Linked DNA regions of Xenopus tropicalis. The protein of the gene in region 3 interacts with the protein of the main gene of each other region in a biochemical or structural test. Links are inferred from orthologs where the notes say so. Each region holds a gene or a part of one and is shown on either strand. Other genes may lie near its edges.

What was found.
Region 1: the proteins of ago2 (region 3) and tnrc6a form a complex in vitro, tested with the Homo sapiens proteins (2 studies listed by BioGRID). The link is inferred for Xenopus tropicalis from reciprocal best matches to the Homo sapiens genes AGO2 and TNRC6A.
Region 2: the proteins of ago2 (region 3) and dicer1 form a complex in vitro, tested with the Homo sapiens proteins (2 studies listed by BioGRID and IntAct). The link is inferred for Xenopus tropicalis from reciprocal best matches to the Homo sapiens genes AGO2 and DICER1.

Annotation. Positions count from the first base shown.
Region 1 is NC_030685.2:20,145,471-20,149,619, reverse strand, and holds part of tnrc6a (trinucleotide repeat-containing gene 6A protein), read right to left. Parts: intron 3,901-4,149; coding exon 3,754-3,900; intron 2,955-3,753; coding exon 2,820-2,954; intron 1,418-2,819; coding exon 1,298-1,417; intron 1,185-1,297; coding exon 1,110-1,184; intron 1,004-1,109; coding exon 805-1,003; intron 700-804; coding exon 568-699; intron 282-567; coding exon 123-281; intron 1-122.
Region 2 is NC_030684.2:88,588,189-88,592,337, forward strand, and holds part of dicer1 (endoribonuclease Dicer), read right to left. Parts: intron 3,424-4,149; coding exon 3,210-3,423; intron 2,027-3,209; coding exon 1,864-2,026; intron 1,677-1,863; coding exon 1,494-1,676; intron 870-1,493; coding exon 764-869; intron 676-763; coding exon 500-675; intron 1-499. UniProt on the Homo sapiens protein: Double-stranded RNA (dsRNA) endoribonuclease playing a central role in short dsRNA-mediated post-transcriptional gene silencing.
Region 3 is NC_030682.2:146,787,492-146,791,640, forward strand, and holds part of ago2 (protein argonaute-2), read left to right. Parts: intron 1-639; coding exon 640-824; intron 825-1,599; coding exon 1,600-1,759; intron 1,760-2,716; coding exon 2,717-2,807; intron 2,808-2,946; coding exon 2,947-3,141; intron 3,142-3,250; coding exon 3,251-3,385; intron 3,386-3,960; coding exon 3,961-4,062; intron 4,063-4,149.

The DNA.
Region 1 (4,149 bases), on a different chromosome or scaffold from region 3:
TCTAGACAAATGCAACATTTCAGACTGCCTTAAGTCTTTCTACACAGAACAGTGTAAAGAGCTACAGCTGTAGACCACGGAACTCAAACAAAAATGAAGTTAATATCAGGGGTTTTGCTTACCAGGGGGCCAGTTGACACTGCTGGAGCCATTTGGCGATTTGGCACTAGGCCAGCCATCCCCAATAGATCCTGGAGGGCTGGATGGAGAGTTACTGCTGTTCATAAAGTCATAAGAACCAAAAGGAGAATCTTCAAGCCTGAAACCACTTGAAATAGCACCTAGGGCAAGAAATTGCAAACACACAAGATTATTACTGTAATGGTCGAGGCAGGGAATATCTGCTCTGTGTCAGATTTTGGAAAAACATCTGGATGCCGCTACAGAGTTTGCATAATTAGAGACAAAGGATGACTGATTAACAAACCTGCAATAGAACTGACTTCTGCTACACAGTTTCATGAGTCAGGACTAGAGAACCCATGGAATTTCCATGGGTTACAAACTTCTTTATAAGGATAATCTCTCTTTAAGGTAAACACAAACTAGCATGCATTCAAATTTTACCATGGTTACTGGAATTTTGATCCAGAGAAGTATTAGAAGACATGCTGTCAACTGTTGTCCACTTCCTCAGTCGTGACTGTGGCTCCTTTACAACTCCGAGATCCATATTTACATTCGAATTTGAGTTCAAGCCTGAAAAGGAGACAGATTTCCTTGATTTAATGCTGTTTAAAGGAACAGTTGTTATAATAAAGCAGTTGCACAAAAACCATGTATAAAATAAAAACCATCACTAACCTGAAGGGAAGCCACCAAAAGAACTGATTGGTGAAGGGACTTTTGGTAGCTCAGGGGCAGAGTGGGGCAGCACATTCTCCAGAAAGGATTTCATGGGAGGCTGGTGAAGCATTTGCTGCTGTGATTGAGAAATGCTCTGCTTCATCAGCAGGTTGGGATCAAGCTGACGTGCCGGCTGCTGCGTACCAAGAGACCGGGCCTTGAAAGATCAAAAACAAAATATTTAGAAAAAGACAAAACCATAAAAACCCCACTAATGCAGCTGTCACATTACAAACACTAAGATTCGTTTAACATTGAAATACCTGCTCATGTTGTTGGCGACCTCCTGAAGGCACCCCCCTCTGGTTCTGAATCTTCTGCTGCTGATTCAATAACCTCTGCGGGAAGAAAAAGTGGCCAGTTACAAACATGGAGAAAGGGTGAATGAAGACCACACAGCTCCTGAAACGGTCTTTGTACAAGGGGATGGGGACCGATTAGTCCAACTTACTTGCAGCTGGGAAAGCTGGTTTAATTGGGAAAGCTGGTTCAACATGGCTACGTGCTGGGGGCCAAAAAGGGGGTTCAGACCACCATTGGCTGGCGGATACTTCAGTAAAGAAGGAGGAACCTGATAAAGAAAATAAAAATTGTGTCAAAGTGGACATGAGCTATGGAAACAAGTGCGTAAAAACAAAAACATACATACAGAAGGTGCTGAATTTACATTTATAGGTTTTATGTATGGTGTGCCATATTGTTCCTTGACAACTAATTCTTTTGGCCAAACTTTACTAAAATTGTTTGCTTTGCTGTAACAAGTGATTTCTTTTGTACAAAGCCCCTCTCATATAATGTCATATAAAGGGGAAAGTATCCTTATATCAGTTTAGAGGACCATTGCAGACACCTTAAACAAATACAACCAAACATTACAACAGCAGATGGATGTATAAGAAAACACTGCTATCCAGGAAAGTCATCTCACACACATGCGAAGAGAAGAGAGGCAGGCACTGGTTCAATGTATCAGAAAAGTCCACAACAGTATTGTAGTTCCAATGTTCCATATAAGGGATCCTTATAGTATTTAAATTGAAGTGGTGTATATATTTTAACTAGGGATAATGCTAGAGAAAGTGGAGCTTCTGAGAGGATAAGGCACTGGAAGGCAGTAAAGCTGACAAAATTAGTGATGCATTTTATAAAGAAGAGAAGGAAGGAACCAAGCCTACATAGTGGAGGGAGAGCAAGTAAACTGCAATGCAGTGAAGGTGCAGATAGATTATGTCATTCAAGCAAAGATCCTCATTAGCTCTGCTCAACCATACAAGGGTACTTGTCACATTAACATGCTGGGCAGACCTGGACCCTAGCTACAAATTCTAATTGCTAGAAGAGCAGCACGAAGTGTGTGCTTTTGATGCTTGCACTCCTATCGCCCGAGAGATCCAGAAGCAGCAGAGTAAAAAACCTGACTTGGCAAAAGGGGCAAGTCAGCACTGAATTATGCTCCTGTCAGTCAGCTGGAATTAGACTTATGACCATATGAAAACTACACAAATCCACATTCATCAAAATCCTACTGATCTACCACTAGGGGTCACTGCTCTGCAATGCTTTTATAAGGAGGTATTAAAAGCAATTTCCACCTTATATATATATATATATATATATATATATATATATATATATATATATATATATATATTTTTTTTTTTTTTTTTTTTTTTTTTTATTAGCCATACATCATCGCTTGTTGCCCAATTTCCATAGACCCAGCAATTCCTGCTGTTAGCACTACCCTTTCCATAGATTAAAGCAAAACAGATAGGGATGAAGCCATACAAATCTAATTAATAAAGTCAACTGCTATATTTTCATTAGAGGCCACAGATGAGATTTAAGGGATGCCATTAAAAGGCAGACAATACAAATCCCTGCCAATACACTGCTTGGCCATGCATAAGTGATTACAATGTACCTATGTAACATGCATTATAAGACAAGCGTATGCAAAAGTAGCAACAAACCTGAGGGGGTATAATGGGAGGAGGCACTTGCGCACGAAGGTTAGGCTGAGATGAGTTAAGAGATTGTGCTGGAGGCTGCTGTGCGCCCCTGGCTTGTGCTGCATTGCCAACACCAAACATACTGGGATTGCCATTCTGTGGGAGGGGAAAATACATACAAATTAAGCACACAAGCACATTTTACGGAGACACTTGTACATAAGAACAAACATGTTCAAAGAAAAGAAGTCCCATATGTGCTAAGAGAAGCCGACAAGCATGAAGCTCTACCTGGCTCGAGAGCTAACAGCCACAAAGTAAAAGGCCACTCTATTCTGTAATCTCATTTGTTCCTGCCAACAGGTAATTATTTTTTTTTTTGAGGATTAATAAACAAATTGACAAGAAGAGCTGAAAAAAAAGGTATGGTTTATATATGTCACCGCAGCAATTAAAAGTCAGACAGAAGTATGTGATTAGTTATTCAGAAAACCGTTAACCAGAAAGCTCTGAATTACAGAAAAGCCATCTCTCATTACAATGCAAATAATTCAGATTTATAAAAATGGTTACCCTAAAAATAATATTATTATTTTTATTATTATTATTAATTATTATTATTAACACTACATTGTGCTTGATCCCAATAAAGAAAATGAATGCTTACTGTGGAAAAATAATCCTATTGGGTTTACTTAATGTTTAAATTAGTTTTTAGGAAATTTAAGATATGGTGATCCATGGTGACCCCTTATCCAGAACCCCAGGTCCTGAGCTTTCTGGATAAAGGATCCTGTACCAGTCCTGTTAGTAAATATTATGCACAGTAATACTGTGCAATTCCTATGAGTCATTTTGCATTGGATTAAAGAACACACAACTCTTGACTTATACAGTGGTTCTATAACTTTGACGGACCAATTCCTAAAGTTGTGGCCTGATTTGAAAGACTCACCTGTCTCACAGAATTGACGTTTGGCATTCCCAGCCCTGGGAAAGAGCTGAGGGACTGAGAAGATAGTGCACTATTCAAAGGGGGAAGCTTCGTGTTCTGATTGGAAATAAACTGCATGCTTTGCGGCTCTTCTGATACAATACCATCCTGATGGTGGTCATATAAAGAAAGCACAAGTGCCCAGAACAGTAGAGAAGGGTGAATGTGATGAAGGCAGGATCCAAGGGGCGAAGCACAAAAGCATTCAGGATGATTGCAAGAGAGAGAGAAAAGCAGAACACAGTCAGCAGAATGTGCAAAGCAAAGTTAAAAAATATTCCACCACCAGAGCAGTAACAACCATGTCTACTAATCATCTGTAACCACCCTTTGTTTGCCCTAAGCAACATGGTTTTT
Region 2 (4,149 bases), on a different chromosome or scaffold from region 3:
ATTACACACAGGAAGATTTACCTGAGGCATAAAATACATTTAAAAAAGCATTCATGAAGCATAGTTGCACTTTACTAGCCAATACAGGTATTGGATCCCTTATCAGGAAACCCATTATCCAGAAAGCTACGAATTACGGAAAGCCCGTCTCCCATAGACTCCATTTTAATCAAATAATTCAGAATTTTAAACTGATTTCTTTTTTATCTGTAGTAATAAATCAGTACCTTGTAATTGATCCCAACTAAGATATAAATAATCCTTATTGGATGCAAAACAATCCTATTGGGTTTAATTAATGTTTTATTGATTTTGTAGTAGACTTAAGGTATGGAGATCCAAATTATGGAAAGACCCCTTATCCGGAATACCCTTGGTCCTGAGCATTCTGGATAACAGGTCTTATACCTGTATCTAATTTTCTTTCAAATGCAAAATTAACTAGTTTTACCAGGAATTTTGGTGTTAGTGTTTTGCCACCGACATACTGGAACCTTACCGGAAATCATCAGGAAGCGATTTGACTCCTACCCCAGCATCAATAGCTGTTTGCGCTCTCAGCTCTTCTGCTGTAAGGAGGCAATGTAATCGATAAAGTATGCTTGGCAAACAAACAGCTTTTCTCCATAAGGATGCTGGGACTGGATGTATAGCACAAAGCTCTGGAACCAGGATCTTTGGTGAGGAAAAACACAGATAAATGTGTAAATAGTATCATTAAGGCTACGATATCCCATCATAGTCTCAAAGTTAAACACATTACCTGTTTGTTTTGTAAACTCTCCCATTTGGCTTTTCTCTTTTCAGCACTGCTTAATGGCAGAGCTTTACCTTTCTGATTCAGATGGCGAGGAGTCAGCAAATTAAGTCTTAAAGAAACAAAAAATATATATGAATTACTGAAAAAAACCAAAATTACTGTAGGCAGAAGACAGAATAACAAACCAAGGTGAATGTACAGAATTCCATTTCTAAACAGCACAAGTATGTCAACAGCTAAACTTATTATGGCTAGCCTACTCTAAGCTAACAATAACTTTTTTGAGCTGTGGATACACAATAGCACAATCTAATTATAAGCTAAAATACAGTTAAGAGTTACTTTGGGTTCAGATAAAAAAATACATCCATAATTCCAAAATACATCCCCCAACATAACTGAGTCTGCATGGCGGGCAGGGGGTCTGACCTATACACAGACATGGTATGAACAAATGCAAAAAAAATATATAATTCATTTGTGCACACAACAAAACTTTTCAGGGACATTTCTCTCTATCAGTACCCTCATATTTTGACATCCCAGTAGGCCCAAATGCAACAAAACATGACAGGTCTTTAAAGAAAAGGAGCTTCAATCCTCCATCAATTTATCCCAACATCAAAGACCTGGCCATATGACCAACGACATTGCAGTTCCATAGTAACAGAGAACTATTATATTACCATATAAATAACAAGTATTTGCACACCAGCATGTTTTCTTTTCATACCTTGATGATGTGTGGTCCACATCCAAAAGTGGCTGATTGAGGTTTGTGAGATCGAGGTTATACTTTGTTTTGTAATATTCAGCAAAGGTTTCATATTCAGGGGAAGGGAACTTGCTGAGCGGTGTAAGATCAGTGTATACATCAGCTACATAAAATCTGTGCGGCTGATCAAAATTTCGATATCTAAAAATGAAATAAAAAAAGGAATTACAAGAAATACATCGGATTCATGGTTGGCTATTCTAAAAATAATAAATAAAAGGTTGCTTTGCTATTATTACAAACTATGATCCACATTTTATCAGACTTATCAGCTTCAAAATGTTGCAATATTTTTAGAAAAAGATAACACTGCAGAAAGGGAAAAAACATTACTTGCCTTGGAATGATAACAGCATCCTGGTAGTCTTCTAATTTGAAAATAAAAGGACTTTCAGCTGAATACTGTGTATTAGGTATACCAGTACGTGCTTCTGATTTCTCAATATCTTCTACAAATTTGAAGTCAATGTCCAAAGTGCCAGAATCATTTACTACAAAAATGAAAGTTCAATCTTTAATAACTCATGATTCACAGAATAAGCTACAAAGCTCAGAAACATTGTATAGTACAAAAAAATAAAAATGTTTTTCAAGCATTAAATTAACAAATCCTTACTGTATAGTAAAATGACTAACAACCCAACTTACAGTGCTACAGACAGGTACACCAATATCACACTTGTGTACACTGGTATTACAGGTGACCCTACAATAAATGGTAAATTAAATTTCTCACCCAGGACTTGTGAATTAATTTTTTTTTTTTTTTTTAATTTTTCAAATTAAAAGGTTTGTAATATGTGTTGTACAGCTCTGTGAAAAATGTTGGCATTGTAGTAGTTTTATCATACAGTCTAAAATATTATTACATAATCTAAAAACACTTCAAATCTAAATGCTTGTTTAAACCTTAAATTTGAATGCACATGGTGTGCAATGTGTATTTTTTTCTCAGTATTTCATAGCTCTTTGGGTGGGAACAAAATGCACAAAATTACCCCTCCTGTCATATGAATGAATATCATCTGTAAGTGCCCAGTGCAGAAACATGCAATTGATAATCGATTATAAAAAAAAAAAAAAAAAAAGGCACATTTCAAAGGTTATCTAAATTAACTGTCCCAACATACCAAAATGTAATCAAAAACATGGAAAACAATTCTCTTCTGGACTTTGTTTACATGTTAAAAAAAAACAAAAAAACCCAAACTTAAACGAGCCACCCCTCCAAGCAGCATCTATGCTTTAAGGTGGCCATACACGCACCGAAATTATCGTACGAAACCTCGTTTCGTACGATAATCGGTGCGTGTATGGCATGTCAGCGAGCCGACCGATATCGCAGGAAGCTGCTGAAATCGGTCGGCTCGCCGATCGGCCAAGTTAGAAAATTTTGATCGGGCGCCATAGAAGGCGCCTGACCAAAATTCTCCCTTCAGAGCTGAATCGGCAGAAGGAGGTAGAAATCCTATTGTTTCTACCTCCTTACCTGCCGATTCAGCCCTGAATGGTGTGTGGCGGATCTGACGATGTTTCGTGCGACCGACGGTCGTACGAAACATCGTGAGATCGCCACGTGTATGGCCAGCTTTACAGAAGTCTCCTCTGTCCTGACCTGCCATAAATTTGCAGGTTTGTGCAGCGGCAGAAGATTGTGCCTTTAAATTTACTTACCAACGTTAAGAGGTAGAACACAGTAGGCACAATCGGCTACTGTGGGTTTAAATTCTAGTGCAGGTTTCTCAAGACGAAGAATGTGTGAAAAAATGTACTGGTGGAGTCTAGTAATGAGCTCAAGTTGTTCTAAGTTTAATGTAAAACCAGACTTCTTTAGTTCAATTGATATGGTCACCTCTCCCGAACGAGTATAGACAGGAAAGTGAGGAATCTGAAAGAAATTGAAAAGATATAAAAAAAACAGAACCATAATGTCTATGCAATATGTTGCAATCAATAATGTGTGCCCTACATAAACAGCTGCCCCAACAGGACGCAGCCAAACACAAACATCTGTTCACTTTTTAAAAGTGAAAAGTTTTAAAGTCTACTTTATGTTTGGTTTATTTCTTCCTTGCTCTTTCTCTGCATACAATTTGTAAACATGGCTGAGGTATTCCTATTTCACTACAGGTGAAATAGTTGTAAAGTATAATAAAGCTTATGGAAAAAATACTATGTGGACAGTAAACATAAAAAGTGTGCATGCTTAGTAAAGAACAAAGAGCCAATTTACAGTTATAAGTAAACTAGTTAAAAAGCATAAAAGTGGTCCATCAACCCATTTTAAATATGGCTTGTTCTTTAAGGCATCAATTAAGAACAGCAGTGAACTAAATAGGAACAACTAAAAACTTGCCAAGTAATGCTTATTTTCATATATGATATATATATATATATATATATATATATATATATATATATATATATTAAACAAAAATATGAATCGCATCGCTCAGGACTTATAACAAAATTGTAGTTTATTAAGTGTAGAAACAGAGAACTGACGTTTCGGCCACAATTGCAGCCTTTCTCAAATGTCTGACTGGATTCAGACGTCTTGGTCTGTTAACTGCTCCTCCCAGTGAATGACCGCTCTGAAAATTGCCCTGATTTC
Region 3 (4,149 bases):
CTAAAATTGCACATCAATCGTGCACCCCTTCTAGCCTGCCCCCGATTAGGCAGTGATCCCCCACATCAACACCCAAACCTCCCCCATCAAACTGCCCAACGTGCGTTTCACTCCTCACAACAGAGCTTTTTCTCCACCCCATGCTATTTTTAATTGGGGTTTTTCTTTTCTATTAGTATAATTTGAGTTTTATTGAAGTTTAATAAAGGTTAAATTTTAATCATGATTTTTCTACCATTCTCTGAGAGTCTTTTTGCCTAATTGATTTGGGTAATGGTGCATACTAATGAAGTCTGATGGGGAACATCTGTTAGGGTGTTTCCTAATTTGCTTGATTTCTTGATTTCTACATAAACAGAGAATAACCTGTGAAATTTACCAGGACCGAAGGTCACCCCCCCCCCAGGAGTCACCATGTAAACCAGTTGCTGTATATAGCTCAGAATGGAAATCAGGGGTGATTGTACAACCATAGGCCAAAAAAATCTGCCAGAGTGCAGATTTGTTTTGTCATCACCAAACTATTAGTAACCTACAATGTTTATTTTCTGTTATGTCCGTTTTAATGGAAAGTTAATAAATACATATTTAAAAAAAAAAAAAAAAAAAAAACCTCACTATAGTTTGGTGTTTTACCAGGACATTTACAGAACAGTTGAGGAAGATCTCACGTGATGCCGGGATGCCTATCCAGGGACAGCCGTGTTTCTGCAAATATGCCCAGGGAGCAGATAGCGTTGAGCCAATGTTCAGGCATCTGAAGAATACTTATACAGGGCTACAACTAGTCGTTGTAATACTTCCTGGGAAAACCCCTGTCTATGGTGAGTACAAACTGAAATTCAACCACATTTGTCATACGTTGGATCATAGGGACTTTATCTTCTGCAGCTTCAAATATAACTACCCTTGGGCTGTTTTACCCTGTGTATATGCGGCTGTTTGCCTCCCTCCTACCAAAGCTTCATACTTAAAAAAAAGATTAATAGACATGCATGTCTGCTTCCAAAACATTAACAGCTTACTATTAAAATCAGCATTTGTCAACATCATTCCCAGTCAAAAATAAAGTCAACCCAAAAAATACAATTTGTTGAGTAATAAAAGAAATCCTAATTCTAAACAACTTTGCAATATACATTCATGACAAAATTGCAATGGTTTTTGACTTATTTGTATTTATAATTGCTATTAGAAGTAGTGTCCTTTTCTATTCCCTGCCCTGGGGGCTCTGGCATATGAAACAATGTAACACAAGGCAACAGCCTGACAGGCCTGACTCGCTGGAGGAGACTGATCTTTGCAACATTGTTTAAAAAGTAACAACCAGGAGTTCAGCAAATGCTGCTTTCAATAGCAATTACATTTACTAATAACTTGACATGTTCAATACATTCACAATGGAAAGTTGCTTGGAATTATGTTTTCTTTTATTAGGCAAAAAAAACCAAAAAACTTGGGGGGTTGACATGCCCTTTAATCTTTTGAAAACACAAATCAATGTGTATGGGTATGTATATGTTTAGGAAAATATTAATAATCTTAGGGTATTATCATCTGAAAGAGAACCTACATGCATAGTTTTTTTTTGTTTTACAGCGGAAGTGAAACGTGTGGGGGACACTGTTCTGGGAATGGCTACTCAGTGTGTTCAGATGAAAAATGTGCAGAGGACCACACCACAAACCTTGTCTAACCTGTGCTTAAAAATCAATGTAAAATTAGGAGGCGTCAATAACATCTTGTTGCCCCAGGGCAGGTAAGTTGTCAAATATAAATTTTGAATGGCTGTCATACTTTTATTTCACATTTTGTCTAATAGAAATATCAAGAATTGAGTGTATAATTATTAGTGTTGCTTTTTCACCCTCGTCATGTATTTTTTTTTTTCCCCCCTCAAGCTCCTCACTCCTCCTTCCATGGTATTATATCCCTACTGGAATCCTTCAAACACATGTAGTTGTACTAATTTGCCAGTATTTCCCTACTAATTTTTAATCACTGGGAGTGCAATTCCTAAAGGAAGATTTAATTCCTGCAATTCCTACACAGGTAGATTTAAGCTGCCAATTGGGGGGGTCCTTCAGACAGATTCATATTGCCAACAGACTGAGATCTGGCCAAAAAGTGCCCGATCAGGCATATTTGATCTTTCCGTCAGATTGGCAACCGTACCAGCTCATTGATTTGGCCCTTACTTCAACGGATCCTATTCCAGTTTACTCTATCGCCCACCATAGGTGGGCATATCAAGGGAATGATTCTCTTGTTTGGTGATCTCGTGAGCCTACCATTTTATTGTTTCTTTTTATTAGTTTTCTATTCAGGTCCTCTCCTGTTCATATACCAGTCTCTCATTCAAACCACTGTTGCTAGGGTTATTTGATCCCTAGCATATAATTAAAAAAGTCCAATGAAGTCTTTACATCATATTAAATGTTAACACAAAAGTATACAACCCCTTTAAGACCCCCAAGCCTCATTTGACGGAGTGCAATTAGGCCAGAAAAACCACCTTGACTGAGAAAGCACTTTATGTGTTGTAGCCCATTAGGCTGCTCTTGTCTGTGGCCTGAAATACAAATATTGTGTGAATTTATTCGAAGAGCCTCTTAATTTCTTTATTATCAATGCAATCTTTGCCTTTGAATACATTTTATTCACTGATTGTTGTCATACTGCTATTTGTTTTGTAACACACACATTTCTCCTGCAGACCTCCTGTGTTTCAACAGCCTGTCATATTTCTTGGAGCTGATGTTACCCACCCACCAGCAGGGGACGGCAAAAAGCCTTCAATTGCTGCGGTGAGCATAGAGAATATTTACATAGTTAGTGCGACTTATGATAGCCTTAAGAGTCGCACTGAGGATTACTTTACATGCATTCCCTATACCAGAATGTATTTTTTTTTAATGGACTTTATTCTTTTATTTTTAATTTAAGGTTGTAGGTAGTATGGATGCACACCCCAACCGATACTGTGCCACTGTGAGGGTACAGCAGCACAGGCAAGAAATCATCCAGGATTTGTCTGCCATGGTTCGAGAGCTGCTTATCCAGTTCTACAAGTCAACACGCTTCAAGCCCACAAGAATCATCTTTTACAGAGACGGTGTCTCGGAAGGACAGTTTCAACAGGTCTCTTTAGGTTACTTTATTAGAAATAATAATTTAATTTAAATGCAAGAATGTATCAAAGATACAAGAAAAATTAGCTAACTGAATACCTGATTTCCACAATCTACAGGTGCTCCATCATGAGCTTCTGGCCATTAGGGAAGCCTGTATTAAACTGGAGAAGGATTACCAGCCGGGAATTACATTTATTGTAGTGCAAAAAAGGCATCACACACGGCTATTCTGTACAGACCGAAATGAGCGAGTAAGTAGTAAACAGGTTGTATATAAGACTGATATGTTTTTACCAGATGACTTGATACCCTTAATGTGCTGTTAAATCTGTTAGCATCTCTGATCTGAAAACCTTTGGACCATTAGGGGACTTATTTCTGTTTACACAAGAAATATAATTGCATGTTTGTAGTGCCCCAAGGACAAAAGGAAATGGATAGCAGAATACAACCTTCATTAATAGAGGAATGTCGCCAACATGACACTATGCCCAAGATCAAAATGCTTCTTACCAATGCCATAAAGCTGTCCATACATGTGTATATATAGAAAAAATTAAGATTTTCAGTTTGTGTATGCTGGCCAGACAATATTGAGCAGTCTCTGTGGAGGTCTGTTTGTAGATCAGGCAGGAAAATTTAATCCATTAATGCAAGATATCAGCTGAGGTTTGTTGGGAGATAAGGTGGTGAAGAGAAAATTCAAAGGTGTACATACTGTGTACATACCAGTACTTCAGAATCAGACTTTATTTGCATGTATGGGAAGGGATACTTGCTTTAACAGAATTGTATTTCACAATTGATTTGTTTTTATTCCACATAGGTAGGGAAGAGTGGAAATATACCAGCCGGTACCACCGTAGACACAAAGATCACCCACCCATCAGAGTTTGATTTTTACCTGTGCAGTCACGCTGGTATTCAGGTAAGTCCTTTGTTGAATACAAAAGTTACTGGTCATTCTTTATGCTTTGATTTGATATAGAGAGACATATAAAAAATAATAGTAAAT